Alligator mississippiensis: one gene and its partners. The protein of the gene in region 2 interacts with the protein of the main gene of each other region in a pairwise test. Links are inferred from orthologs where the notes say so. Each region holds a gene or a part of one and is shown on either strand. Other genes may lie near its edges. The genes, in order: PIMREG, AGTRAP, MRM1 and MCEE.

Region 1 (7,428 bases), on a different chromosome or scaffold from region 2:
AATTGATAAATGTTCACCCTTCATTCCCATCCATTTTTTCTGGACTCTGGTGACCAGTAGATTGGGTCTCCTATGGGGCATAGTCAGCAGACGACCTACTCTCAATTTCCTTGTAAGGGAATACTTTAAGTTAGTAGCTCTTGCTAATAAACAAGTCCCCCATGCTGAATCACTGAACTGTATGAACTCAGAAGGAAGCTGCTTTAAAAATGATATAAAAAAAAAAAAAAGGCAAAGCAAATTGCATTCAGATATGCTTTAGTGATTGGAGATAAGAGCCAACTATGTTTCTCAACACTCCACTGCATATTAATAAATGTACCGCAGTGTAGAAGCATAATGAAGCTTTAAAACGGGCACTCTACTGAGATGTGCTGCGTGCTCTGAAAGGGTTTCGTGGATGGCTTCCCTCCGTGCCCAGCCTCAGCAACCACCCATCCACCTAGCAAACACCCCACGGTCAGCTTCTGCAAGGGCTTACACAGGACAGTAACATATCAAAAGCACACAATAAACCGATGACTTCCTTAAATACAATTTTGCATATAGGTATGAGGACAAACTGCAATATGCACAGCAGTTTCACTAATTTCGGGAATGTGCAAGAAGCAATATCGTTTATGGGACCATTTATCGCATCATTTACTGGCATTTATTGTAGGTGGAGGGTAGGTTAGGCAAGCTTTGGGGCACCAAATGCCTTTCTTCAGGTCTGGGAGAGAAGCAAGGTAAATACCATTTAGGAAAAAATGCTTTTGTTTAACCCTATTGCATGAATAAAAAGGCTCATTTTTGAAAAGGAAGTAGTAAACCTGTGGAGGAAGAAGGTATCAGAAGTAGTTACAGACCAAGAAAAGACAAGTTGCTACATAGTTAACCCCCATTTTGTAAGAGTAAGATTGTTCACAAGGGAAGAGGATACAGAGAGGTGAAGAGGGGGAGCAGTAAGTTTTAATGAGCTATCACTGTCTTTAGTAAATGCATGGGTTTTGGTGACCAGTGAGGTTACCGATTTTTGTTCCCAAGACCTTAAAGGTTATCTATTGAAACCTCTGCCATACCTGTATTTCAAGCAGGCTGTGAAGTTGTGTTGGTGTGGGTGGGTGTGCATGCATGCCTCGACTATTATGGCTCTCAAAAGGGATGGTCGAGTTGCATGCCAATGGCTGCATTTGCATTGCAAGTGCTTCTGCACAACAGCTCCCCGACGCAGCACGTCCAGGTCTATCCGGCTGCTGCTACTCGGCCACTAAGGCCCAGGCGTCCTTACGAACGGTGCACCCTGCAAGTCACTCAGCCCTGACCTTGCAGCTGAGAATCGCAGCCTGCTCGCTTTGGGGCTGCATCCCTGTCATGCTCGTGCTGTTGCTAGGGTTGCCAACCCTCCAGGATTGCCCTGGATTCTCCAGGAATTAGATATAAATCTCCAGGAGACTGCTGAGTCACCCAGGAGATAGAGTCCAGAGGAGAGCTATGCGTGTGATCAGAGGGCAAGAAAACAAGCCTTATGAAGACAGGCTGAGAGCTATGGGACTCTTCAGCCTGGAAAAGCACAGGCTCAGGGGTGACCTGGTGCCAGCCTTTAAGTACATCAGGGGTGTGCATCAGGATCTGGGGGGACGCCTGTTCACCAGAGCGCCCCGAGGGATGACAAGGTCGAATGGTCACAAACTCCTCCAAGACCATTTGAGGCTGGACATAAGGAAAAACTTCTTTACTGTCCGAGCCCCCGAGGCCTGGACTAGACTTCCTCCAGAGGTGGTGCAAGCGCCTGCTCTGGACTCTTGTAAGAAACATTTGGGTGCTTTGGGATTTTTTGATCCTAGCTGACGTCCTGCCCCTTGGGCAGGGGGCTGGACCGGATGATCTTACAAAGTCCCTTCCAGTCCCTAATGCCTAGGAAATGCTGGGCCATTCATTAAAATAAATATTAAATGTTAGTTCAGTGGGGTTTTGAAATGCCATAGCCGTGCACCTTTGCCTTCCCAACCTAAAGTCTGCGCCCTGTGATCTGCAACAGGTCGATGCAAGCATGCGGGCACATTCGCATTGCCTCGTGTGCACGCTGGCATGCTGGAAACGGATTTAAGCAGAGCTGGCAACCCGCCTCCCTTGTGGGACACCACCCTCCCTCCGGCTTTCTTTAGGAAGCGGCAGCAGCAGAAAGCGATGCCTTTTCTGGGTTGTCTTTAGAAGCAGCAGCAGGAAGTGATGCCTATTTTTTTTGGGGGGGGGAGGGGTTGGTTTTATTTAGGAAGCAGCAGCAGAAAGCAATGCCTTTTTTGGGGGGTTTTTTGGTTTTCTTTAGAAACCATCAACAGAAAGCAATGCCTTTTTGGGATTTTTTTAGGAAGCAGCAGCAGAAAGCAATGCCTTTTTGGGGGTTTTCTTTAGAAACCGTCAGCAGAAAGCAATGCCTTTTTGGGTTTTTTTTAGGAAGCAGCAGCAGAAAGCAATGCCTTTTTGGGATTTCTTTAGGAAGCAGCAGCAGAAAGCAATGCCTTTTTGGGATTTCTTTAGGAAGCAGCAGCAGAAAGCAATGCCTATTTGGGATTTCTTTAGGAAGCAGCAGCAGAAAGCAATGTCTTTTTGGGATTTCTTTAGGAAGCAGCAGCAGAAAGCAATGCCTTTTTGGGATTTCTTTAGGAAGCATCAGCAGAAAGCAATGTCTTTTTGGGATTTCTTTAGGAAGCATCCGCAGAAAGCAATGCCTTCTTTTGCCGGGCTTTCCTAGCCCCGTCCCTCCATAGCCCCGCATCTTTTCGGTTTCCAGTTGCTCTTGCAGCCGGCTCCAGAGGTGCGAGCGTGCAGGAGCGGGGTGGAGCTGCGGCGCCCCGCGCCTCGCCGGGCCGGAGCTCCCCGCGCCCCGCGCCCGCCCGCCCGCCCGCCCGCCTTCCTACCTGCCCGCGCGTCCCGCCGCGGCTCCGGGTTTGAACTGCGCGGGCCCCGCGCGGATTGGCCGGCCCGCCGGGCCCCGCCCCGCCCCGCCCCGCCCGGGACAAGGCTGGGAGGGCCGGGAGCAGAGCTCGGCCCGGCAGCTCAACCTCTCTGCCGAGTCCCAGCCTAGCATCTCCCCTTCCCCGCGAGACGCTGACCCGTGCTCAGCCAGCAGCAGCCTCTGGGAGGTGTGCGAAGGAGGCTTGTCCTGCCTCCAGGAAATGTCCCTTGTCGGCTGAAGCGGGCCAGGCCCTGCTGCAGAGGAAACCACCCCCAGCCCATTCTGCTGCATCGTTTGCTACAGTGTTTTTGTCCACATTAGCCAGGGTGGGAAAGGTGCTGCAGTTTTCTTTTGCACCCAGCAGTCTGGAACCACAGGTGTGGTTTGTGGTTGTCGGTGAGGGAAGCAAGCGGTAGGTGATGAGTCGTGTGGTTAACCAAGTGACCGCAAGTGGCAATGCTGAGCGATTCTCAACCAGGTGCCCTGAGATTCTTGTGCCACAGTGTTACCACTGCTCGGTGTGCAAGCACCTAGAGACGATTCACAAGGCAAGTCCAGAGATTTCAAAGAAGAATCCACTTTGTTAAAAACGTTCTGATTTGTTGGGGTCTTTCTGAGTTCATAGATTTCATAGACATTAGGGCTGGAAGGGACCTCGCGAGATCATCGAGTCCAGCCCCCTGTCCAAGGGGCAGGAAGTCAGCGGGGGTCAGATCACCCTAGCAAGATAAACATCCCAATTTTTTTGCGACAGAAGAATTGCTCTATTATTTTCCCATATTTATTTTTTGACATGGCGAGTCACTGAAAGTGTCAGAGAGCTGCCTCGGGTCTAAAAAGTTTAACCACTGCTCTCGCTTCATCACGCAGGCCGGGACTCTGATAAAGTTAGACGCTGCAGGAATTGGGTGTCTTAACTCTCTTAGTCTCAGTTACAGTTGCTGCCGCTCTCAATAGCTGATGCTGGATCAAATCCTTTCTTTGTCTTCAGAGCGCTTCCTGAGAACTCTGCATGAATAAGAGCATCTGGATTAATTGATCAAAATGAATTGCAATCTATATGGCAATTGAACGTTATAACGGAGGGAATAGGAAACGATCCAATTTCAGATCTTCCATTACTGGCAAGGTTTCAAATCAAATTGCCCACCGTACAGTGTGTGCCGTATGCTGCCGTTCACACGCAGAAAACACAGGTGCAGAGAATGGCTCTCTATCCTACTGCAGAGGGAAATCATTAAATGCGTAAATGACTCACTTCAACTCTTTTCCCATAAGACATTTCTGTTTGAACAGTTGCCTCCTTTTTGAAAGCCTCTGTGATAGGAGGTCAGTTCTTTCCCTTCTATGGCTAGTACTTTGTCCGTGTTTTATCTCACAGCTAAACTGTGCTGACACCTAGTGATAACTGTGTGGCATCGTGACACCGTGGCCGAGAAGGATGCGGGTGAATGGATGCAGCGTAGGCTATCATATGATCTAATTTTAGCAGTCCAAAACCATGGAGCAGTCACCCCTATCTTATCAGCAACTTTATTCTCTGGTGCTGTTTCAGTCCGGTATGCTTGCGTTCCCTTTCTCATCATCATTCAGTGACTCCCAGGTGTATCTCCGAGCTCCTCCATCTGATGTGTTCAGTATCTTCCTGTACTTGCAAACTCCTTTTCCCTTTAAGCATATCTCTAGGGAAATTTGCAGAGAACCTAGCTGCAGAACTGCCTTGTTACAGTATCCGGAGGTATGGCACAAGTCTCTGTATCTTTTAGCAGGGTTTGGAGCTGTACTTGCACACAAAAGGATAAGTCATGTAGAGGGAGGTCAGAGAGAGAGAGAAATAGCTGGGGCGGCGGGGAAATAAAACCAGGATATGATCTAGACACCTGTCAGATCTGTTTGGAGAACTTTCTGTGGCTTCTGCATGCTTTCCTCTCATCTGATTTGGGACTTGTTATTGGCAGTGGAAAATCAGCTTGCATCACGCTCTTGAAGTTTGCAGGTCCTCGTTTGCAGCGAGCATTGCTTTCGTTCCTTGCTGTGTGACAGCTGCCACATACGTAACTGTACTGTTGACGGGAGGCAGTAAGCAGCTGTGAGGTTCCCTGTTCACGATTTCTTTCCTCATTACTGTCATGTTAGCCGTATGCAACCACGGCTTAGGGCCGGTGCCCTCTCCTTGCTTGCCCTGAAGTCAGGTCAGTGCCCATGACATCACAAAGGCTACCTCTTGCTCCCTGGCAATAGCTGAGCTCCCTGTGATTGGGACGGGGGGAAGGCATGGTGATCACTGAACCCTGAAGGGAGCAGATCAGAGGAGGAAGGGTGCTGAGGCCCAAGTAGCTCCCAAGCAATCCAGACTGGAAGTCAAAACTGGTAACTAATTTTTTTTGTATACTGAGTGGTGTTGGTCTCTTCCTTTTACCACTTGTTCTTGGGTCTTCGATCTACTGGGCACGATTGTCCACATTTCCAATAACTGGATGACTCCATTGGATGAACTGCATGATGATTATTTCCCTCTCAGGGAATACATGCTTCAAACAGAGCTGTTTCCAGAAATTAAAAAAAAAAAAAAAAAAAAAATCTCCAGCAGGTATTTCAAGTGCCTGCTGAAATAGGCAGAAGGAAAATCAGCAGATTTAGTATGCTCTGGGCAGAGCAGTGATCTTTTCAGTGCAAAAGCAAGTGGTGCTTTGTACGGACACCAGCATGCTCAGAGAGGCTCAGAGAGGCTCAGAAACATCTGATGAGGCACAAGAGCCACCCTCAGGGGTCTCTGGACTCTGCGCAGATAAACTGAAACCTCTGCCCCATTATACTGCAAGGTGCTTCAGCTCTGCTGGAAGTCAAGGGGCTGAAACTGTGCTCTTTGCTTTTCCTGTTGTGGGAGTTGACTCATTGCTTTTCTCTTTTTTGATTTAGGTTAGATCACAGTTTAGATCTGAGAGCTCATTTGGCCACCAGAGATCCTAAGGAGGCAAAGGATGGATTAATGCTTTTAGATGCAGAGCAGCAACATTTTAGCCACTTGATTGGAAGAGTTTAATCTGTTGGGAGACAGCCAAGAAGCTAGCCACTGCCTTCCTGATCTATAGACCACCTAGGTTTGATTCTGTCCCCAGCAGGAACTGACTGTCTCCTTCATGGAGGATGACAGTGAACATGAGCAGAGCTGCTGGGCATATCTACCTGATGTCTGCCTCAGCCACGTGTTCTGGTGGTTAGACGATAGGGACAGATCCCAGGCTGCGTTAGTCTGTAAGAGATGGAGTCAGGCCATGTACGCAGGGTCTCTTTGGAGAACCAGAACCATCACCTTTCGTGGGAGGCCTTCTAGGTTGCACACATCAGAGCTTGAATCTTCTCTGTGGTATGTCAAGAAATTTGGCAAGTACTTGGAACACCTCGAGATCAGGTTCCTGAATCCTTACAATGCTATCTTGACGCGAAAATTTCAAGTGACAATGAAAGGGCTTCTCTCACGCTTGGGCAAATGTAACAGCCGACTGGTGTCCTTGAGTATGCAGCACCTGGAGTTGGACCGATTGGTCTGGAAAATCGTGACCAGGAATCAGTTTATCAAGAACCTAATACTTTTCCTGAAAAGAGTAGGCTCCCATCTGGATCATCTCAGTTTGAAAGGAGCCAGGGTGACGCTGGAAGAAGGCTGTGAGCTTTTGAGCTCTTTGAGCTACTTGAAAAATAAAAGCCTTGCCTCTGAAGTCAACATAGAAAATTTCTTCGAGCGTCACCTCGCTGTCTACAGAAGCCCCCTGTTTTGCGAAACCATGTCCAAGTTCCGCAATCTGGCCATCCTGAGCCTCAATTACAACTGCATTTCCGATGAACTGCTGGACACGCTGTGTGAACATAATGCCCATTCTCTCTGGACCCTAAATATCAAATGCCATATCCATGACCCTCATAGGCAAATAATCTGGGGGGTATCCTGGGGAAACCTAGCCAAGAGAGCCCCCAAACTCAGAGTGAACTTCTTCTTTGAAAGAGTCATGAAGCATGACAAGTTAGCCAGGATCCTGTTAGCAGAGATCCCTGTCAGGAGCATCAATCTACGCAGCTGTTATTTCAGGGACCCGGACTGGACAATGAGACCCACCCTCACCAATCTCTTGCCATCTTACAAGCACATCCTACAGGTACGGTGGGGACAGAGACACTGTACTCTCCTGTTCCTGATTTGAACAGGAGGCCATGCCCGTGTTAGCCTTATACTCAACTGCCAGTGTGAAAGTGAAGCCCTTCAAAGCCCACAAGGCCCTTTTACCCACCTTAAATTGATGTGCCCCCTTAAACGGTAGTCCCAACGGGACACTGTTTCACTGGAGGGGGAAACATGGTGCATTTCTTTCAGACCATATTGATTTCACAGGTCCTAGTGCTTTGATATGTTCCTAGGGATTTGAAGCTTTGTGCTAGTGCAGGTTATTCCTTTATAGTGTCAGATGTAATTTATTCTGTTTAACATGTAGATC
Region 2 (7,110 bases):
AGCATTGTTAACTGTTTAGATTCAGGACAATGACAGTGCAAGCCTTCATATCCTGTTTTGGGCTGATCCGTTCAGGTCACAAGGGAGACTTTTCAGCTGAGAGCATGCACCATGTTGGCCCCAACAACACAGGGCCACGTGCTCTCTCATGACAGCCTGGGTGCCCCCACCCCCCGAGCAGCTCAGAGGCTGGGACTTCTCTGAGTTGGCTGAGCAGCAGGAAACACAGCAATGCTACAACTGCCTTTCTGAGCCACCCTTCTCCCTTGCTGCCCCCAAACCTCCAACCCAAGGAGTTTTAAGCCAGCAGAAGGGCAGAGGGGAGACATCTCACTCCTCCAAGCTCAGCCCAGCCTGAGACGAGACCTGGCCAGTGGCCTTCCCAAACTGAGGTGTCAGCAACATCTTATCTTAGTTGCTGCAGAGACCGGAATTGGCACAAGAACAACTCCTATATCACTGCTGACCCAACTCACACAAGGACATCCTGACCGTGATTCCTTGGTCTCACAGCACCTGGCATGGCCCCAGGTCGAGAGAAGACAGAAAGCAGAGATGAAATGCTGTATAAGGATGACAGGAGAGGGGGGAAGGCTTCCTTGGAGAGGGCGCAGGGACAGCAGTCAAGCAAGGACATGCAGAACCAGTGGCTGGACAACACTTGATGCAGCGTTCCTGCCCAGTCCACAACCCCACGTAGCTTTGCCCTGAAACGTAAGGGGCACTCGGCGGTTCCAGCCAGGGGCCCTCTCCTCGCGACTCCACCAAGACACCATGAGCATGGGGACTCTGCACCCGCACCCCCTGGCAGGCCCATGCAGGGATTTTGTGTCTATAGCAGTCTGCCACCAGAGCAGCACACACCCACAGACAACGGGCACCGGGAGGCATCTATTCCACATCTTGACTGTTTGGAAAAACGAAGCTCCATGCTCTTTTGCTGGGGTGTACTGAAAGCAGTGATGCAACCTTTAAACCAGCAGAATGCAAAAGCTGCTGCCATGTACGCAGCTCGGTGAGGAGCAAGGCTATTATGGCCAAAGGGTCCGCTCCTTGAAATCCTTGTAGGTGCCCTCTCCTGAGGGCCTTCTTTATTGCAAATTCCCAGTGCTTCACCTCAAAGCAGGGGAATAAGACATCCTCCCCACTGAGGCTCTGACAATGTAGCATATTGCAAGCACCAGCATCCTCTATAGCAACACATTTCCATGGCAACAGCACCCTTGAGCACTGAATGACCAGCCCCAAACTGGTGAGCTGCTGTCTGGAGTGCTGAGGGCGGCAGACTTCCAGATGGCAATGGGCCTGTGCTTCTCCACATGAAGGGGGACCCACAGGCAGCTGTGCCCCTGATGTGGCTTGGGGTTGCTCTTCTTGCAAACACATCAGCCAATGATCTGCTACAGCTGTTGCCCATCCGCAGTCTGCACTGCCATCCGTTCCTATTAGGTAGTGTGAGCTCCCCTGAGCAGAGAATTGGAGCTCCACAGAGTAAAACCAATCCAGGAAAAGTTCATCTAGTGGCTAATCCACTTTCAGACCTTCACCCAGCTCAGGGGAGCAGCACTGGCACCCACAGTCGCCCACTCTTGCAATGGCAAACATAGCTGCAGTAGCCTCTGCATATTAAGGACTGCTAGGGTTGTGGGGCGCAGCAGCATCCCCTGCACGCTGACTGCCAGCAGTTCAAACACGACGCTAGCTTGCAAAACTGCACGGGAAGCAAGAGAGGGGGAACAGCAACCCTGGGTGTTTGCCAGTCCCAACAGCAACACACAAGGAACAACCCTGCGTGCAGAGAGCCTGGTCGCCTGTGGCACCTACCCAGGATGCTGCGCAACCGGCACCAAGCAGCTGAGCTGATCCAAAAGGAATTGGGCGCGTGAGGTGAGGCGGCACAATTGTTTTGGAGTTACTCTGCAAAAACACCTCCACAAACGCAGACAACCCTCATGCGGAGCTCCAGCCCCCCAGCCAGGTGCCTGGACGCCAGACAAACTCAGTCAGAAGCCAGTTCAAGAGCACTCAAGCCTTTTTTTCATCTCCCCTCTCCTAGGAAGGACACGCTTCTCACTAAGGTGTTGATTCGCACTTACACTTGAGGGAGCCTCTTTTTCTGCACAGCCCTGGCCCGCAGCTTTTCAGCAGGGGCTTCAAACCCTGCAGGTTAAAAAATATCACACGCACCAAGGTTTAGTGATCAAAATCTAGCGGGGCATGGTGACCTTCCTCAGAGACAAGCCTTGCCCAGCACCACCCTATCTGAAAACTTGGCAAAGGTTGAGCTTGGCAAAGGGCAGCTCTGTTAGGAAGCAAAACAAACCATCCGCTGCGTCTCACAGCCTCCAGGCTCTTAACGCCGGGCCTGAAAGTAGCATCTGTGGCAGGACTAGGTTAATAACTAACAGGGTTCATGTTGCAAGAATGCATTTGAAATGCTGCCTGTTCCCCCCCGGTAGGAAGTTTGCCTGTTTCCTGATGTTCTGCAGCGCAGGGGCAGAAACACGCACGTGACAGAAGCGTGACAAGCGTTTCAGGAAGTCCCTGGCTCCCGCGCTCGCCCCCCAGCACCCAGGGCCCCAGCACCCCACTCATCGCTGAGCATCAGGGGTGCAGGGGGAGGAGGCCTGGACCGCAGCCAAGAGTCCTGCAAGCACCAAGGGCCTGAAGAAGAAAGCAAGTCTGAAGGCTGGACTGTGTGAAACCACTGCGCTCCTCCTGCCCTGTCCTCATCTCCACTTGCGCCCACCGCTGCCCCCCACCCTCCGCAGGGAGGACCTCCCGTGGCAGCCGCAGGGAGCGGCGCCGGAGGGGTGAAGTCCGGGCTGGAAGCAGGCGGCGCTCTCCGCTCGCTCGCCCGCCCGCCCGCCGGGAGGTGCCGTCCCGTCCCGTCCCCCCTCGCCCTGCCCTCGCCCGCACCTTGAGGTTCACAGCGGGGACCTCCATGCTGCCGCGCGGGGACCCTCCGCCTCCCGACTCGGGGCGGCTCCGCCCGCCGCCCGCGCCGCCCCGTGACTCCCCGCGTGGGGCCGCCCGCTTCTCCCGCCCCTCTACAGCCGGCCTGCAGAGAGAGGCCCCGGGGAGGTGGCAGCCGGCCCCCCCCGGGGGTAGGGGAGATGGCCAACAGCCAGTGCCTGAGGGTGCCCCACGCTGGCTGTCACCCACCCACAGCCTGCGCTTCATTCATGTGCCACCCCAGGAGGGACACCAGCAGCACCCACCCCACCCATGCAGGAGCCACAGCCGCAGAGCTCTGGTGGGGAAAGGCAACCAGGACACACTTCAAGGGGCAGCCGGCACTTTCGCACCCTGGCCACAGCTGTGCGGGGCTCTGCACACCTGCAGTCGCTGGTGGATCGGTCCCTTTTGGTAACAGGAGCAGCGTGTGCTTTCACTGGGAACGGGGAGAGGTTCCAGGACAGGCCCCGTGGAGGCTGCGTGTGTGCATACTCATGTTTCCCATGTGACTGCGCATCCTTCTACCTTTGTGTGTTTTAGGCCGCAAGCCTAATACTTACCTGGCAGAGGAAACGCTGTGTATCTGGTCCAGGAAGGCAGTTTTCCTTAAGTATTCCCCGAGAGAACTGTTCTTCTGGCGTGGTTTTGTACCCACGAGGTGTTGGGGCTTAATGCCCACTTTATGGAAATGGGAGGCTGCTCCCTACCTTGCTGCTGCGGCCATATGGCTGCGGGCAGGCAAAACTTGGGGGCATCCGAACGCCAGGCCTCCGGGCTTGGGCCTGCACATAGGGTGATAGCCAAAAGACTTTGGAAATATCTGAAGCTCCAGGCGGGGTGGAGGATGTTTGCTGGGTGTAGGGCCACTTACAGTTCTGGACTGACTCACAGATTTGGACTTGATTTGGCTTGGAACATGAAAAATTTCTTTTAAAAAAACTGTTTTAGGCCACAAGCCATCTGGATCCTAAATCCCCTTTGCTAGAGAAATACCTCTTGTGAAGAGATGAGAAAGCTCATGCCACACCTAGGGTGCCCATTATAGAGGACACTCTGAAATGAATTTCAGCTGCTTTCAAATTTGTTTTCTGCTACTCTGTCCTCTATTGATATGAAACTGGACACCTTTGTCCTCTATTTTTCTCTTGAAGACTGGCAACCAGACTGTCCTCTATGATGGCCACCCTAGCCACACCCCTTCCCAGCCCTCCCACAGTGAGACCATTTCACAGCTTTCAGCAAGGCATGGGGGAAACAGGAATGAATCCATCCCCCACTGTGAAAGAGGTTCATAGCAGACAGCTAGGCAGGGATCAGAGTTCCCAGTGTCCCACTCACTTAGCCTATGGTCTGACTTCTGGACTGGATTTCACCCTGAGTCATTTTAGAGAGAATATAAAGGATCAAAGAGCATCATCTTCCTCACCTGACTTTCCTTGTCCTGCAGACACTTAACTCACCTGCCTCTGCAGACGGAAATGCTTTAATTGAATCAGCTGCTCCTTGCAATCCCATTTCACAGCAGAGATGAAGCCTCTGAGAAATAAGAGTCCCGAGTTCCAACGGAAGCAGAATGGGAAGTGGATGAGTCATATCGTAATCTGGTTTACTGTTGAAGTGTTGCAATGCAAGGCTATGCAGGAAGCACTGGGGAATCCAGGACAATAGTTAATTTAGAACCAATGATCTTCCCAGCAGACACAATTTTTGCCCTACTTGACCTGCCTGTCATTGCATCTATAGTCCCCCTGGTTGCTGAAGTCATTGTGTTTTGGGATCTAGAAAATGCTAATCAAATGCCAAAGTGAAGTGACCTGTTATTTATAAGGTGCTAGTCTACTAAATGCCACACAGAGAACTGAGATCATAAACAGCAGAGCCAGCAAGTGAGAAGAGGGCTCAGCACAGGGCAAGTTTACTTGAGAAATGTATTGCTACTGCTGTTTAGTTACACCTGGACTCTTACAAGGCAGGATCTGTGATAGCCCCAGAAGATCCCCAACCAGCAATAATTTCATAGACATTAGGGCTGGAAGGGACCTCGGAAGATCATCGAGTCCAGCCCCCTGCCCAAATGATGATGATAATGAGCTAACCTAGCTGCACAAGTCCTCTGAGCAAGCTCCTATTGTACCAGTTTTCCCCAGAAGAGGTAGAAAATGTCTCCCTTGTTGGTACGTTCCACTTGGGTGATAAGCTGCTTCTCACTTCCCCATTTCCTACAGAGCCTCGGTCTACCCACAGAAACAGATGGCCAAGACTTTCAGAAGCAGCTGCTGATTTCAGACACTCAGCATGACACAGCTTGAACGGCCGGATCTGATCTCCCACGGTTCTGAGAACCCATCTCCTGGGAATCCGGGCCGTCAAATGGTGAAGATGAAGTCCCAGGATGGAAGCAGCAGACACTTCACCTGCTAGTCACCCGGTATAGACAGACTCATATTGGAAGTTTTCTCTTGTCCCTTGCAGGGCTTTGGCCCAGGTTGAAAGCATGATTCAGTAGAAATGCTCAGGTGATTATGGCTATTTGCACGTCTGATCCCTTTACCAACCAGAGACTAAATAACTGATTTATTGTGGCAACACCTGGGGAATCACAGCATTGGGGAAAGGACAGTATCAATTTAGAGACACATTCCTGCTGCAGTCTGGTCATGTTGAATCTGAGGATCATATCACTGTTTGCATACAGCGAGACTTATGACTCTTGATTCCTTCTGAGACTTTCGCTTGGTGCAGATTGAGACCGAAGTCATCCCTCATACAGCAAGCACCACAATTTGGATTGATGTAATTGCTGTTTAATGCATGGCCTCTTTCCATAATACAGCACTTTTCTTCTCCTTTGTTCTTCAGTGTGTCGTGCAATTAGTTCACCCCTGATTATTACATCCTGAGCTTGCATGTCACGGACTCAAGGGATTTGGAAATGACTTAATGATCTCACGGTGATGAAAACAACACGAGCCATTGCACACATTATGCATCTGCACGTCTCAGGCATGTCAGTCCTATTTTTTCTCTCTGCTTCTCTTTGCTTGTACCCTGTAAATTGCCTTACCACGTAACTGTGTTGCAGCCTCTGTGGCTGCCTTCTGCTCAATCCTGGGATGTGATATAACTAAAGGACACAAACACAGCATAAGAGATAAGCAAGAGGTTCAGGAAACCAGGCTCCTGCGAGAACTGGAAGGCAGCGGGGAGCAGGTTGGAGAACTCTTATAACTAGCTGGCTGATTCAGAGCAGCTCAGCTGTGACCAAATAGCAGGCAACGGGGTGGTCTGTGCTAAGTATCTTGGTCAGGGCCGGACACAGGCATGAGCAAACCGGGCAGCTGCCCAGGGCCCAGACAGAAAGGGGGCCCAAAAATGGTGAAAATAATGATTATTATTATTATCTCTGATAAAGGGGGGCCCGATACTAAAAGTTCACCTGCCAGGAGTCTAGGTACAGTGCTGATCCTGGTGGTACCATTGCTAACCCATCCTGCTGTATTCTTGGCAGTATAAGGGAGAGGACTAGGAGACTGCACTATTCTCTACTCTCCAGACTGGGCTTTGGGTCAGGTACTCAGCCCTGCTCAGCCAAAGCAGTGGGATTCCCAGGTGAGCTCTGACCACTCACCTCCAGACCCTGGCTGCACTGTGTAAACCCAGGGAAGATACACAGGGATGAAGCTAGACAGACTCTTTCCCTTCCCTTAGAGGGGAAGGGTCTGCAAAGTGTTGAGACCCCATTCATGGGCCACTTCCTGGCCTGGACTGGATATAAGCTTGCCTGGTGGAGGTACTAGGGAAGCTGTGGGGTCCTATAGACACCAATGGGGAAACAGCAGCCTCAGGTACTTCCAGTTGTGAAAACAGGCCCAAGCAAAGCTTTCTTGCATGTTTGTTTGTGCAAGCCAGTGATTCTCAACCAGGGATGCCTGGAGAGCTTTTCAAGGGTGGCACAGGGTGCCACACAATGTTAGCACTGGTAGGTGTGCCAATGGAGGGATTCACAGGACAAACCCAGAGATTTCAAATAGGAATCCATGGTGTTAAGTCCACTCTGACCCCTTGTGGTCTTTCTGAGTTCTTTGCAACAGCAGATTGTTCTATTATATTTTTCATTGTCAGAAACTAAGGGAAAGCTAAGAGTGGAATTTT
Region 3 (7,430 bases), on a different chromosome or scaffold from region 2:
GAGCATGGGAGTCCCCCACCTCCACATCTGCGTGCGTTCTTCTAGATCACATTGCCTGTCTGCACATCTTCAGAGACTTCTTATAGATACTAATTAAGCTTCCTGTCAGCTAGATAAGTTGGCTTACAAAGGGGTGACTTCCCTCCCATGCTGTACCTGGTCTGCAGCTAGCCAGAGGCCTGCAAGGCCTTAGGGCTCTCCCCAGCATCAAATAACCCTGGCTAGATGCCACGGAGAAATGACTTGCACTAGGAGCTACCGCAACTCAGAGGACTGTGAGAAGTACGCAAGCAGAAGCATTGGGAAAACAAATCCTGGGAGATAAATGGGTTCTTGCCCATTATATAATATATAACCCTCTTGTAAGTAGTTTCCACCCTAATGGCACCAAACGCCCTAATGAATCAAATGGGAAAAGGAAGCTGAACAGACCAGCTTCACTCCATTGAGGCTCAGGAGTGTTGCACGGGGAGCTCGGCGCTGCCAGGGCAGCCCAGGGGATGGATGAGTAACACTCCTAGACTGCGCTTCTGTGCTCTGCAGCAAAGCTGGCGAAGCGGGGAGAATATGGCCAAAGATCTGCTGATCAGGTAGCTCCTTTCATAGGCTCCTTACCCTGCTTCCTCACACGCTGCTCCAATGCAGTGCTCGTACACAAGATCTTTTCATCTCCGGCGACTCAGAGGAGGAGACTCACTTCTGTGCCTGCTTGTAATATTTAAGCAACATGCCTTGGAGGGCGCTCGTTAGAAGGCAAAGGTTTTTGGAGCACCTGTGCTTCTGGCAGGCCGTCTGCTCCTGCGAGAACATTTTAATGAGACCGTTATTAATTATGGAGACTTATTAAAAAAAGAAATCTAGAGCAAAAGCCCTGGCCTGCCCCCGGGCTCCCTCAGCTCATTGTTGAGTGAGTCCTGGGGTTGCATTTCTTCAACATCAGCCTTTTTTCAAATGGTTGTCTGGGGACTAAAGGGGAGAGCAGCCAGGTGATGGGCCTGAAAACTATCCTGAAATCTTCACTGTTCTCTAATGGATGAAACGCAGGACTTGGATTTGGCTTTGGGCTCCGTGAAAGATGCATTTTGTGCTCTCGGGAGCAGTGCTTCACCTCTGTATTTGGATGACGTGATCCCCCTTCCTCTAGCCTCACTCTCCCAAGACTGCACCTGAGCTGTGGATGGAAAGATGGTGAATTAGTGTTGAAGCAGTATCCTGAGCAATGGATTTTGCTAGCTGGTGGCAGAGCATCTGCACGTGTCCCTTTGGCCTGTCTGCCTTAGCAGGGTTTGCAGCATTTTCAGCACCTGGAGAAAGCAACCCAGCAGGGTAGCAGGTTGCAGGCACACAGCTATCATAGTTTTTGTGGGACAGCTAAGGTTTTTTTCCAGGTCAGCAGCTTTGTAGCACTATATCTAATTCATCTACATATCATAGCACAGTTCTGTGACCCAAATAATGCTGTGATCCTGCCCACACTTGCAGCTTGCACCGACCGGTCTGTCATATAGTAGGGGGATTTTTTTTTTTTAACTAACATGGGTACAGTGTTATGAGGTTTAATTATATTGCTGTAGATACGTCCCTTTTTTGTATGACACTTCCGTGGAGCACCTTTGATACTGGTATAACTGCATCCACGTGAGGCGGGGTAAAATTATACAGGTACAGCTAAAGCAGCACAACTTTCTGGAGCAGACAAGGCCCATGTCACACTGTTGGATCAGTATGTCACTCCACTGTCAGTATGTCTGGACACGATGGGTCATACGACACAACAGTTTGTGCCAGGCTGTCCTGATGTGTCTATATGGCAGGCATTGAGCTCTGAGAAGTGGCAACCCTAATCAGTCCTCTGCGGTCCTTTTACACAGCCAGCTGGGTTTGTTAAACCCTTGCAACCTGGTGTGTTAGGGGCAATGAGCAATCAGGGCTCGTAGTAGAGATGATATCTTTTATTAGGCCAACAAGATTTTTGCAAAAAAAAAAATTCTTTCATTGCAAGCTTTTGGGCACAAACACCCGTCATCAGGCCATCAGGTCAGTACAAGAGGAGCGCTTTTAAACCTGTGCATTTTCTCGTTGACAGACTGAGCCAGATTCAGTCCAGGTATACGTACCTCCTTTGGCTTCTGCAGGTGAGTGTGGCTCCTTATTGCTTGTTTGCGGTGTCAGCCTTATTTTGTCTCTGTTCACCAGGCTGCTTCTGGCCTTTTCAGTAGATGCCAAGCGCTCTCTGCTGGTGACCAAGAAATAAAGCATCCTTAGGTTTAGAAATAAAGCATCCTTACGTCTCTGCCACATGGCCAGGGGTTGTCTGACAATGAGAGCAAGTTATGAAACTAGGAATAGCAAGACTTGGGCTTCTGTCTTTGGGGATTCTTGCAGAAATGGGGGTCTTTTGGGGTAAAAACCAAGTGGTTGCTGTTGCCAAGCAAACACTAGCAAAGTGAGCGCATTAGGACGCAGGATTTGGGAGACCAAGGTTTTGCTCTGAGCTGAGCTACTTGATAACCCTTTTTCTTCTCTGTATCTCTGTGCCCCTTATACCAGGCTTGTCCATTTAAACATAGGCTGCTTGGGGCAGAGATGGTCGTGGACTTGTACCGAACCTAGTGCAATGGAGCTGCGATTTAGCTGGGGGTCTCCAAGCACTACTTTATTACAAACCAGTACACTCAATAACTAGGACAGCTACTTGGATCTTTACAAGATGAGCTCGTACCACAGGTAGACAAACCCCATAGGTGCGTCGTCTCCATACCCCAGTGTTTTCTTTCTAAAAGTCCTCTAGGAGCCAGGTGGGTTGGATGGCAGTTCTTGGGAGAAAACCCCAGGCTGGGGTGTGGGAGATGTGGGGATGCTGTCCCCACTGGAGGGAAGGCAGACACCACTTCAACACCAGGCTTTGTGCCCACTTGGGTCCTCTCCCCGTGGGGTGCCGCCGTCTCCCTGCATCAGTGCCATTGCCCACACCAGGGCACCCAGGGCAGGGGCTGTGATGGCTCTCACGGGTGAAGGTGGGCATCTTCACAGGAGGGTGCTTGCTTCCCAGGACACTTGCCACAGCCAGGGTGCAAGACCCAGGGCATCCCTGGGGCATGGACAGGGCTGGGGGTGCTGCAAGGCATGCACGGCCCTCATGCAGCCCGGGGCTTGCTCCTCCCAAGGGGCTGGGCTGCACCCTCCTCTCCCCTGCCTTCCTCCCCCCAGGAGCTGAGCTATCTCCTGCGGGCACCTGTACATGTTGACTTTGTCTAGTTAAATATATTCTTTGGTGGGGGGGGTTGGCTTAACTCTTGCAGTGTAGCATGATAACTGTACCAATGTACCACAACAAAAGACAAAACTTCAGTGTAATGATTTAATATTTCTTAAATTTAGCTTTCCAGCTATTAGCCCTGTTTGTTACAGGCCAAAAAACAAACAAACAAACCAAAAAGCATCTAAAATTGGATGTTTTTAATATGTACCTTTGTCCAAGCAAATGCCACCTGCATCTATTTCTGTATAATTTTCTGGACCCAGGATCTCTGGACCCAGGCATGTACTGTGTCTCGAATGTCAGGTCAAATCCTGACATTGTAACCCTGTGAATATAGAGGAAAATCAGTGAGAAATGTGACCCTGGCATTACAATCTTGTGAATATAGGGGAAAATCAGTGCAAAATGGGATCCTGGCATTATAACCTGGTGCATATAGAGGAAAATCAGTGAGATGCGACCCTGGCATTATAACCTTGTGAATATAGAGTAAAATCAGTGCAAAACGTGATCCTGGCATTGTAACCTGGTGCACATAGAGGAAAATCAGTGTGAAATGTGATCCTGGCATTATAACCTGGTGACTATAGAGGAAAATCAGTGTGAAATGTGATCCTGGCATCATAACTTGGTGCACATAGAGGAAAATCAGTGTGAAATGTGATCCTGGCATTATAACCTTGTGAATATAGAGGAAAATCAGTGCAAAATGCGATCCTGGCATCATAACCTGGTGCACATAGAGGAAAATCAGTGTGAAATGTGATCCTGGCATTATAACCTGGTGACTATAGAGGAAAATCAGTGTGAAATGTGATCCTGGCATCATAACTTGGTGCACATAGAGGAAAATCAGTGTGAAATGTGATCCTGGCATTATAACCTTGTGAATATAGAGGAAAATCAGTGCAAAATGCGATCCTGGCATCATAACTTGGTGACTATAGAGGAAAATCAGTGTGAAATGTCATACTGGTATTATAACCTTGTGAATATAGAGGAAAATCCGTGCAAAATGTGATCCTGGCAGTGCAACTTGGTGCATACAGAGTAAAATCCGTGCGAAACGCGACGCGGCTCCCGCAGCCCGGGCCCCAGGTCTGGTCCATGCAGGACGCACGTGCCCCGCCTGCGCTGCCCGGCGGCGGCCGCCGGCCACCAGGTGGCGCCCGAGGGCAGCGCAGCGGCACCCGGAAGCGGAGCGCGGGCACGTGGTTGCCAGGTAGGGGCTGCTGCAGGTCTGAGGGGAGCCGTGCGCCCTGCCCCCCCCCGGGCTGTGGGGCCTCCCCCGCCCCCCTCAGACGGGCCCAGCCAGGGGCTGCTGCAGCTGCTGGGGGCTGAGGGGAGGGAGCCCCCCCATGGGCTACTCCCTGCCCCTCCAGGGGTGAGGCAGTGGGTTTAAACTGTAGCCACACTTCCCCCACAGCTGAGCTTTTTCCTGTCAGTGTCCACACAGTCGCTCCTTTTCTGCAACAAGCTCCCCGCCTGGCATTGCACCCTACGTTATTTGCTCTGATTTTATTAAGCGTCTCTATTCTGAAAATTGAGTCCTGTTTTTGTCTCTCCACAGGGTTTTGTTTTTTTTTGGCATCTCCGGGACGTCAGATATGCAGCCCATCTGGGCTCTGTGCACGTCTGTTGCGTCAGTGACCTCTTCTGCCAGACTGGCCTTTGCACTGGAAGCAATGCAAGCGTTTAAGTTCAGCACCTGGAAAGAGAGGCGACTTCGGTCCGCTTGCAGTCGCAGCGGGGTTTTTTGGGCGGCCAGATGTTTTTCAAGCAAGCAGAAGCATCTGCCGGCACGGTTCGGGTCGCCTGGTCAGGGAGGGGACGAGGGGAACCGGCAGCAGCACGACGGCCATCGGACTCGGACGTCCGAACAGGTCAACCCCGAGTCGCCGCCACCTCCCCGAAGCTGCAAACCCCCGAAGGACAGTCGGCCGCTGGGCTGGAAGTACAAGAAGAGCCCGGGGCCGGCTGCATCATCCAGAGAGGAATTTAGAAACTTGAGAGAAGATGATTTTTCAAAACCGTGGAGACGGCGCTCGCAGAAGTCTTTGTCCGTTCGAAGAACGCAAGGCTCCGAGATCTTGTTTGGCGTCGGCCCCTGCTCCATAGCCTTCTCGCAGGCCAAGAGGAACTTTTTCCAGTTATTCGTAAAGTCGAGCAGCAGCGGCCTGCGCCCGGTAATGGAGGAGTTTGTCCAGCAAGCTAAGGCCCGTGGGGTGTCTGTGCGCTACGTCAGGAGGGAGGTGCTGGATGCCCTTTGTAAAGATGAGGTGCACCAGGGGGTTTGCTTAGAGGCTTCTCCCCTCGGCCTCAAAAGCGTGGAGGAGACTGAGGTTCCTGCCTGTCGGGATCCACAGCAGCTTTGGCTGCTATTGGAGCAGATACAAGATCCCATGAATCTGGGCACGGTGCTCCGCTGCGCGTACTTCTTAGGGGTTGACCAAGTGGTGATGAGCAGAAGCAACAGGTAAATGCGGTGCTTTGTATTTTGTAGCAAGGTTTCCTTTGCACGTTACTGCCGGTTCCCAGGCAGCGTTAATGTCTGGTGCACGTCTGTAGCTCCTTTTTATCCCAAACAACTCGGAGAATCAAATAGCCAGACTCCATGTAACCCACCCTGGACCACACCGTTGTTATTTGTTTCACGTGGAAGACGCTCGCTTACCCTGATGATGAACGGTATAAAATCCTAAGGCTGGCAGATGGGTTGTCTTGGGATGGAAGGAACTAAAGCCTGCGTCGTTGTGAAAAGCTTGGCTTTGTGTCGTGCACATACAGAGGTTGCCAGATGTTTATAGCTCAAAAGTGGAGTGTATAATGTGACTCAAACGGCCCAGGTGCCGAAGGGAAGCACAGCTCCGAATCCTTTTCTGCTGTTTTTCTACCGTCCAGTGTGAGTTTATTCTCGATTCGGCTGAGGTTCAAACATGAAAGAGAGTGGCTGTTCTCACTCCACAGACAACTGCAGCCTCACCCCAGGGCGCTCTGCTTGGCAGGGTCATGCCCATTGAGTGACTATTCCTCTGCATAGGGTTGCTGTTATTTTATTTTATTTTTTGGGGAGAGGTTCTGGAGAAGTGGGACCACTATTTGTTTAGGGACTGGAAGCAGGATGCCAGTCTGTCCAGGCGCTGCCTGTGCCTGTAGTGGATTGGTAGCCCCTGCCCCAGAGAACTTGTCCTCAAATATAAGAGGGCGCAGATGGATGCCGACTGATTGCTGGGAATAGCACATGAGCAGGGTAATAATCCCAGCATTTCCATAGCTCTCCTGTGCTTTGCGTCTAGTTGGCATTACGGCAGAGGTGGGTGTTCAGAGGAGGACGGTGTGAGGCTGATGAACCGTGGGAGAGGTGCTTAAGAGGGGCTTGCTTTCCCCTATCATCTCTCTTCTCAGTTGCTTCATAGAGGTGAATTGGGGATTAACCTGAGGGATAGAGGTGTGTGGCAGGAGAGTCGTGGGGACACAAGTCTGGGGTTTGCATCATTTTCTAATAGCGCTCATCCTCCTCTCTGGGTGGGCCCGTGGTTGCAATAGCTACCTGCCATGTATCCTCTTGAGACAAACCCAGCCACAGGTGCTTTTTTGGCCTCTTTCTTTGTTTTACCATCTTCAGTTTTTCACTTGTGCTCAAAACGCCTCTTGCTACCTCCTCCCTGGGTTCGGGACCTCCCATTTCCTATAGGCACGTGCATCCATATAGTAGTGAGTAGAAAACTGATCTAAAGTACATCTCAAAGGGCAAAGAGTGAGGTAACAAACACTTTTCCCCCGTCCCCCAGGATTTTCAATGTGCTTTGTGTTCACTGGGAACTTTTTGGCTTTTCTACTTGCAGCTGCCCCCTGACACCAGTCGTGAGCAAAGCCAGTGCTGGAGCTATGGAAATTTTGGACGTCTACAGCACGGATGATATTCCAAGATTCCTGAAGGTAGAAGAAACCAGGTTTCCTGGATTTATTTATGTATTTATTTTGAATATTTACTTTAGTGGAAAGGATACAAGTGTTAGAAAGTTTGAATCTCTGAATCTAAGCAGATGTTGGGAACAGAAAAGACACCATCTCAAACCTGCCTTTTGCAGACACACACCCTGTCATTTCTGAAGTGCACACTTTCTCTCGCCTGTTTGTTGAGCATCTGCAGTGGTGGTGCCAGGAC
Region 4 (7,579 bases), on a different chromosome or scaffold from region 2:
GGTTTCTTTCCCAACTTGTAATAGCCAATTCAAAATCCATCATTATGTATACATGGGGTTATTTTTCCTCAGGTACATTACCTGGCACTTGTTGACACTGAAGTTCACCTGCCTTTTTTTTTTTTTTTTTTTTTTTTAACCTCACTCACTTAGTGAGGTTCTTAGTGAGATCTTTCTGCAGCTCCTCTCAGTCAGCTTGGAACTTGACTACCCAGAATAATTAGGTTTCATCTGCAAACTTGATGTTACTGTGCATCCCCACTTCCAGGTCACTGTTGAACAAAACAGGGCTCAGCAAAGATCTCTGTGGGACCCCATATTTGACCCCCTTCCATCCTGAAAAGTGAGCATTTAACCCAGAGATGGGTAATTATTTGGGCCAGAAGGTAACAGGGAGTTTTGGTGAACTGCTGCAGGCTAGGTTAGCAGCATTGCACCCTCTCCCCACAACAGCGCAGCAAAACTCCCCATAGTGGTTCTGCTCAGTGCTGAGCCAGGAGGTTGAGATGGAGGCACAGATGCGCTGGGGAGTGGCATTTGAGAGCAGGATGGTGGGTAGGGCCGACCCAGAACTGGGATCGCAGGGCCATGACACCACAGGGCTGGGGCAGAGTCGATCCACTCCCTGCAAGTCCCTGTGACAGGCATTGGTTCTGCAGGCAGAGGTATGCAGGTAGCAGATTGCAGCACTGCCCTGGCCCCACACTTTCACCGACTCCATGGAGACTGCCTGGGACCTGAGAGGGCAGGGCACACAGCCAGTTGGATGAGAGGTGGCCACGGGTCATGGGGAGCTGCATCTGGGAGCAGAATGGGTGGGCAGGGCCGGGACGTTGAGGCAGTGACAGCGCAGGGACTGGGACCCAAGGCAGAGCCATGATCCACTTGCTGCACGTCCCTGTCCACAGAACTGGCACCCTTTGCAACTCTCCCGTTCCCAGATGCTACTCCCTGCCTGACTGTAGCCCCATCCCATCTGCCCAGCCAGCAGTGGATATGGGATGAATAGGCCAGGGTGCATAGGCAGCAGCCAGATGAAGTGGCTGCTGCCAGGAAGTAAGCCCGGCCACTGCGCCACCCAGCACTGCTAAATGCCTAGGGGTAGTGGGACCAGCTACATGAGCCACAGCCTGGGCTGTGCCCTACATGAGCCACAGCCTGGGCTGGACAGGGCAAGGTGACCCGCTGTAGGCTGGACAAAATCAGTGCGCCAGATCCAGCCTCATGGGCAGTATTTTGCCCACCCAATTTAGCCCTACCCTTTGATTTTTATCTTTTAACCAACTGTCAAACCACAAAAGTGCCTTCCTTCCAATCTCGTAATGCAGTATATATAGTTTTTAAGCCTTTGGTAAATGCTTTTTTTTTTTTTTTTTAAATCAGCAATATAGTCAGCATTGCACTCAATACGGAGCCCTGAAGACCTATTTTATTATATATTTTAGAGATAGCAGAAAATTGGATATTTTTGGCTGACGTTTCTGAAATATTACCATTTAGAGAAAATTGCTTTCACGTACATTTCACAAAGATTATATAATGTGTGTCATGTCACTTTCTTCAACCTTTCAGTACCTTTTGAAATGTTTAATGATTCGCTCCAGCATGTATTTAGACTACCTTTTGAATTCAGTTATTATTTCACTGATCAACATCAAAGTACTCAGCACTGTTCAAACACTAACAGTAGTCCCTATCCTTGGGAACTAACATACTTTTAGTGACAAGAGTTTATAAGCAGGGAATGTATAGTGCAACATACATCAAAAAATAGATCCGGACCCTTCACATAATTACATAAATAGTGTATCACTGTACACGTGCAAGTCAATGGGAGATGCCAATTGATTTAATGGGCACTTGATCAAATCTATGCCATGTGAATCAAGTTACATACCCTGACACCAGTTAATCAGTTGCACCCAATTCTCTTGTGTGTCCGAGTGAAGCCACATTCTAGCTAACAGAGGGTCCTCATGCGGCATTAAGGCATAAGAAAATATCCAACACTGCCTTCCCCACACTGGCACAAGCACAAATGGATCACGGCCTGTTATTCCTAAAGCCCAGCAATCTGAAAGGACCAATAACCGTTAGGGACAGTAGCAGCCAGCACGCTTTACGTTGGCCTTCAGGCTTCTCTAATGTACACTAGAATCGCCTCGATGACTCCAGGATCTCTCTGGGATCAGCAAGGTGCCACCTCTCCCATGGGTTAAGTGCCTTTTTGCTGCAGCCCAGGATCCTGTCCTTGACATAGATTTCATAGACATTAGGGGCTGGAAGGGACCTTGTGAGATCATCCAGTCCAGCCCCCCTGCCATAGGCAGAAAGTCTGCTGGGGTCAAATGATCCCAGCAAGATAAGCATCCAAACATTTTTTGAATGAGTCCAGAGTCGGTGCTTGCACCACCATAAGTTTGTGGCCGTTAGACCTTGGGGAGCCCTGGCGAACAACTGTTCTCCCACAGCCTGGTGCACCCCTTATATACTCAGGGGCATAGATGAGACCCGGGCCTAGAGGAGACCCAGGCACTGGGCCTCAGCTCCCTTATCAAACACCAGCCTAGGCAGGGCTATGCCAGGCATTCAACAGCCCGCTCCAGATCAAGTCATCAGTTAAACAAACAAAATAGCACGGTTTGGACACAGCAATTCAGACGGCTGGCTCCCAGGAGAGACCGTCAATCACACTGCGCAGGGGGGGGGCAAGAACAGGAACAGGAGGCCTTAAGCTGCACGAGACTGGTACAAATGAGTGCGGCAAAGGCAGCCACAGGCCTCTGCCAACGGAGGGGAGATTTCCCTCCCCAGGCCGCGCGCAGGGAAGCTGCCCCGACGGCGGCGGGGCCGGGCGGCCGTGCACAAGGGAAACCCGCCCCGCCGGGCTCGAGCCACCAGCTCCACAAGTCTCCCACGCCCGCTGCTGGGGGGACGCTGCGGCCAGCAGACGCCACCAAGGCCAAGGACGTGCCTGTGGCAGCAGCGCCCTCCCCCCCAGTGCAGTCGCTGCCCCGGGCCCGGCCGCGGAGAGGAGCCGTCCTGCGCGAGGGGCAGCGGGACCCCGCGTCCGCCCGGCCCCGCAGCGAGACCCACTCACGCGCCGCGCCAGCCACCGCTCTGCCCGTGGGCGCCGCCATCTTGGCCGCGGGTCATTCAAAGCCAACTTTATCGACAGCTTCCGCCGCGGACAGGGCGGCGCGGGGCGGAGTTGTTCTGGGAAGAAACCTGGCAGGGGGACAGCAGCCCTCCCTGGTCAGGTCCCTGCCGTCAGGGGTGGATGGAAGGACGCTGTGACTCTCGTGGGGGTCTGCAAAAAAAACTGGCAGCCCATCAGGTGCCCTAATAAAACTGGAGACCCCAGTTAGGGTTATGGTTTTCAAATATTACAGGGGGACCTTGTCTCTTATGGGGGGCTCAGCCCCCCGAGCTCCCTGGCAATTTGAATCCCATTGACATCATCCCTCACGTCGGGCTAAGCAACCTGAGGGGCCTGAGCCACCAGGCCCTGCTGGCCACAGGAGCAAAGCCCCGGCAGATCTCACTCGAGGACAGACCCCCACACCTTCCTGGTGGACAGCGGTGCTCAACCTTTTTTGATTCGAGGTGCCCCCCGATAGACTCGAGGTCACTTTCAGGGATGGAGGCAAACCCGAGCAGGTCAGAAGGGCTTGGCTGCTCTGGATTCCTGTTTGAAATCTCCAGGTTCATCGCTTGCACGCCTAACTGTGCTAACATTGCATGACATCCTGTGACCCCCAGGGTTTCAGGGCACCCCGGTTGAGAATCACTGGGTCAGAAAGGCAATGAAAATCCTGTCCTCTAGCTGAGGCCTACTCCTGTGCCAGTACTGGAAAACTTGCCAGATGAGAGGCGGTGTCCTGTTTCTTGACTGATAATGCTTCATGTTGTTAAAAGAATCCTAAAGTGCTCGTTTACAGGTCACTCTGGGTCTTGTTTACTTTGTGCTTTTCTCCTGGCTTGTACAGAGAAAACTGCTGTGTTACTAACCCTTGGGATTTCTCTTTCCAGTTTTGCAGTACTTAGATTCTTGAGTCTCTGTCCTACAATAATTTGGGGGGTTACCCATGAACAAAAAGTTAACACGTTATTTTTTGTTCCCTAGCTATTCATGCACATAAAGCTGTACACACGTGTAAGAGTTCACAAGGTTGGGCATGGAAACTGATGCAGAAAATGTAGGTTTTGGACCCTGATTTTTTTAAAGGATATTTACACACAGAATTGACAGATCACTGAGAGCTATGGATCAGGACAGGGTGCTGGAGCTCTTTGTATGGAAGGAATAGTACTGGCATTTAGGAGGAGTTAAAAAAACCCATATACAGCCACAAAAGCCTGTGTAGTATGACTCTGAAGAAAAAGGGGAGAGGTTTTTAGATAAAAAATTGGATGAAAGAGACTTGGAGCTATAAGCAAAGCTATCTTGTCATTCCCAGGGCCGAATACAGGCATGGGTGAACCAGGCAGCTGCCCAGGGCCCGGACAGAAAGGAGACATGAACATGATAATTTTTTTTCTGTTGTCTGATTATTATTATCTCTGGCGAAGGGGGCCCCAATAGTAAAAGTTTCCCTGGGGCTGCCAGAAGTCTAGGTACGGAGCTGGTGATTCCTACTCCATACCAGAAAATTGGACTTTGTACATTCCTTGTATATAAACAGGATTGTATCAAGAAATTTCTCCTTCTTATTGAAATAAACTGCAATACCCAATAATTAGCTAACTGTTGTGTTAGAAACGATGGCATAAATATTTATGTTCCTCTTCCTATAGGAGAGTGTGGAAAGCTTTGAGTGAAGTTGAAAGTATGGATGGAGGAGTCTTTGCAGCAAGTGTGAATGGTTTGTGCACTGTAAAGCTTTGCTCCACTGGCACAGCATGCAATGAGGCTATAGCTGTTTCCTTATTCCCCGTTCCTTCTTCCTTATGCCCCATAGGCAGTATGCACTGGAGGGTTTATAGGAAGGCTGAGGCAGGACAGGGGCCAGGCCAGTACCATATTTCCATAATGATGTGTGTAACCTTGACATGTATTAACCTCTGCAGACAAAAGTTCACACATAACAAGCATATTACTGAACCTTAAGAGAGTAACAGCCGCAGAGAAGCTTGCAGCCTACCGAGAAGATGGACTCGATCCCCTGCTGAAGCTCCTACATCAAGGCTGTTTACATAGTCTCAAAGCAGAGTTTGCCTGGTGGAACTAATCTGACCAGGAAGCCATCATGTATTGTTACAAAATACTAGAACTGAAGGGGAAACATTAATCATTGTGAATGGTACAGTTGTGTAAATATGTGCATGGATGAATCTTTAGGCTGGTAAAGCAGGATACCATCAGACATTTGGTTCTCACAATATCTGCTGAAAATGGGAGTCCAAAAAACCCCTTAGAATCTAGGTTATAGACACAAAACTGCATAGTAAGATGACTGTAGCTTTACTATATTTAGAATATGTTATTCAGTACTGAGAATATCCAAGTCTAGAGTTGTATTAAAGTCACCCAAGGGAGAAAACAGCAACAGCAGCAAACAGATGATTATATAGCATACAGTTCCAGGGCCTGATACTGTAAGCCTTTACTGATATGAGTAGTCCCATGTAAATCAATCGGCATACTCATGGGAATGAGGATTATTTCTGTTAAGAAAGAACTGCTAGGTCAAATCCGCAATTTACATATAGTGTTCCACATAAACTGATTCCTAAAGCACTTTGCAAAATTAGGTTTCAGTCTTGCAACCACTTTTCAATGGGAGACCCCTGGGCCTGTAAAATGTGGAGGCAGTTGCCAGGACAAAATAAAAGAGTGCACAGCATAGTTTGTCATGCAGAGAACAGTGGTACACAGATATTAGATGATTAAATTAAACGATTTGATTAAAAAAGCATAGATGGAGAAGGGAAAAAAATGTTTGAAAGGAGGTTTGAAAAGAGGTAGATGATTATATTAAACCATTCCATTCAAAAAGCATAGATGGAGAAGGGAAAAAATGTTTGAAAGGAGGTTTGAAAAGAGGTAGATGATTATATTAAACCATTCCATTCAAAAAGCATAGATGGAGAAGGGAAAAAAATGTTTGAAAGGAGGTTTGAAAAAAGGCTCCTGTTACTAAAGAGATTACTTGTGGCAAAGCCTAGCAAGGGCCAGGAAACAGCGCAAGCTGTAGGGGAGAATTAATGAGATGCAGCTATGCCAACCAGGGAGGGTCAGCTGATTAGAAGAAGCCTCTCCCAGGTGTTTAAAAACCTCAGCTCTCTGAGGGTCAGAGAGACATAAAAGGGAGCTAGTATTCCAGGAGGTACTTGGCAGACTCCAATCAGCATTGAACACCTGAAACAGAGCAGGGAGAGAGCCCCAGGAGATAAGGGTTGAAAGGGTGTGTGTTTATTTTACCCTGAGAATGAGAGGGTTTTGTTAAAGTGATGGGAAGGCATTTTTTTCTTTTATATTTATTTGTTCTGAGCAGGGTGGGCTTTTGTTAAAGCTGTAGCTTCTTCCTTTTATGTTCCAGTCTATACTAATGGATGAGGTGTGGCTGTGAGGAGGAGGCCATAGGATGGCAGGAAGGCATGGTAGCAGCCCTGCCAGGGTGGGAGTATGAGACAGAGGGCCAGTAACCCAAACCAGAAAAGACAGAGAAGGGGAGTGGCTGAGGCCTGAACATGAGCAGGCTAGCCAGAGCCTGGAAGGGTGAGACCAGGGCTGGGGCCCAGATGCCGGGGTCAGGAACAGTGTTTTTCAACCTGTGGGTCGCAAGAATATATCAAAAGGGTTGCAAACAAACTTTAAAAATGGATTCTCCTTTAAAGGAGAAAAACTTGGGAAACTGACTTTTCCCTTTCAGGCTGGCAGAGCTCTAGCCTGTGAGGGGCTGACTGGGACTGGAGCCCAGGCATGGGGAGCAATGGGTTGGGAGTCAGGGCCACTAGGTCAGGACTGGCCACTGATGTTTACAAATGGGTCCTAGTACAAAAAAGGTTGAGAACCACTGAGCTAGAGGAAGGGGGCTAAAGCCCCAACAAAACTTTTGTGGCCAGAGGGCCAAGCTGTGTAAAGGGATGAGATGCACACTCAAATGATAACTTGTGTCATCTGTGAGATATTGGTGTGGTGGTAGGGGAGGAAGGAAGACCTGAGGAAACAAGTACCAAAAACAAATAGGAGAGAGGGAGAGCCCCAGAGGACTTGCCAATCTCAGGTGGGCAGCCTCCCCCATTAATTTTCTCTACCAACAAGGTATGGTAGACAAGTGAATGGGCTGTCATCCAGGGAGATCTGAGTGGGACCAAAAAAGACAGAGGGGGCCACAAGGAGGTAATATAGCTGCCCTTGGGCACTATCTTGTCACAGGTGCATGTTATTGTCTTTCTGCATATATTGGAGTGTCCTTCTAGAACGGTGTGGGCAATTATTTCAACTGGCAGACCACTTAATCAGTTTTGATGAGCTGTCAAGGACCCCTCACTTAAAATCTTTCAGAATATATAATTTTAATAAATTTATAGATGATACATACAGTAGATGTTTGATTTTTAGTATAACATTTTA

The links.
Region 1: the proteins of AGTRAP (region 2) and PIMREG interact in binary tests that used the Homo sapiens proteins (3 or more experiments, as listed by UniProt). The two-hybrid records come from large-scale screens. The link is inferred for Alligator mississippiensis from reciprocal best matches to the Homo sapiens genes AGTRAP and PIMREG.
Region 3: the proteins of AGTRAP (region 2) and MRM1 interact in binary tests that used the Homo sapiens proteins (3 or more experiments, as listed by UniProt). The two-hybrid records come from large-scale screens. The link is inferred for Alligator mississippiensis from reciprocal best matches to the Homo sapiens genes AGTRAP and MRM1.
Region 4: the proteins of AGTRAP (region 2) and MCEE interact in binary tests that used the Homo sapiens proteins (3 or more experiments, as listed by UniProt). The two-hybrid records come from large-scale screens. The link is inferred for Alligator mississippiensis from reciprocal best matches to the Homo sapiens genes AGTRAP and MCEE.

The regions. Positions count from the first base shown.
Region 1 is NC_081837.1:9,024,450-9,031,877, reverse strand, and holds the start of PIMREG (protein PIMREG), read right to left. Parts: upstream 3,008-7,428; 5' UTR 2,901-3,007; intron 1-2,900. Other genes in the region: F-box only protein 39, read left to right, coding at 6,079-7,092. UniProt on the Homo sapiens protein: During mitosis, may play a role in the control of metaphase-to-anaphase transition.
Region 2 is NC_081836.1:12,387,394-12,394,503, reverse strand, and holds the start of AGTRAP (type-1 angiotensin II receptor-associated protein), read right to left. Parts: upstream 3,004-7,110; 5' UTR 2,947-3,003; coding exon 2,920-2,946; intron 1-2,919. UniProt on the Homo sapiens protein: Appears to be a negative regulator of type-1 angiotensin II receptor-mediated signaling by regulating receptor internalization as well as mechanism of receptor desensitization such as phosphorylation.
Region 3 is NC_081837.1:5,044,272-5,051,701, forward strand, and holds the start of MRM1 (rRNA methyltransferase 1, mitochondrial), read left to right. Parts: upstream 1-4,423; 5' UTR 4,424-4,484; intron 4,485-4,832; 5' UTR 4,833-4,869; coding exon 4,870-5,738; intron 5,739-7,107; coding exon 7,108-7,201; intron 7,202-7,430. UniProt on the Homo sapiens protein: S-adenosyl-L-methionine-dependent 2'-O-ribose methyltransferase that catalyzes the formation of 2'-O-methylguanosine at position 1145 (Gm1145) in the 16S mitochondrial large subunit ribosomal RNA (mtLSU rRNA), a universally conserved modification in the peptidyl transferase domain of the mtLSU rRNA.
Region 4 is NC_081834.1:35,436,896-35,444,474, reverse strand, and holds the start of MCEE (methylmalonyl-CoA epimerase, mitochondrial), read right to left. Parts: upstream 3,016-7,579; 5' UTR 1,986-3,015; coding exon 1,898-1,985; intron 1-1,897. UniProt on the Homo sapiens protein: Methylmalonyl-CoA epimerase involved in propionyl-CoA metabolism.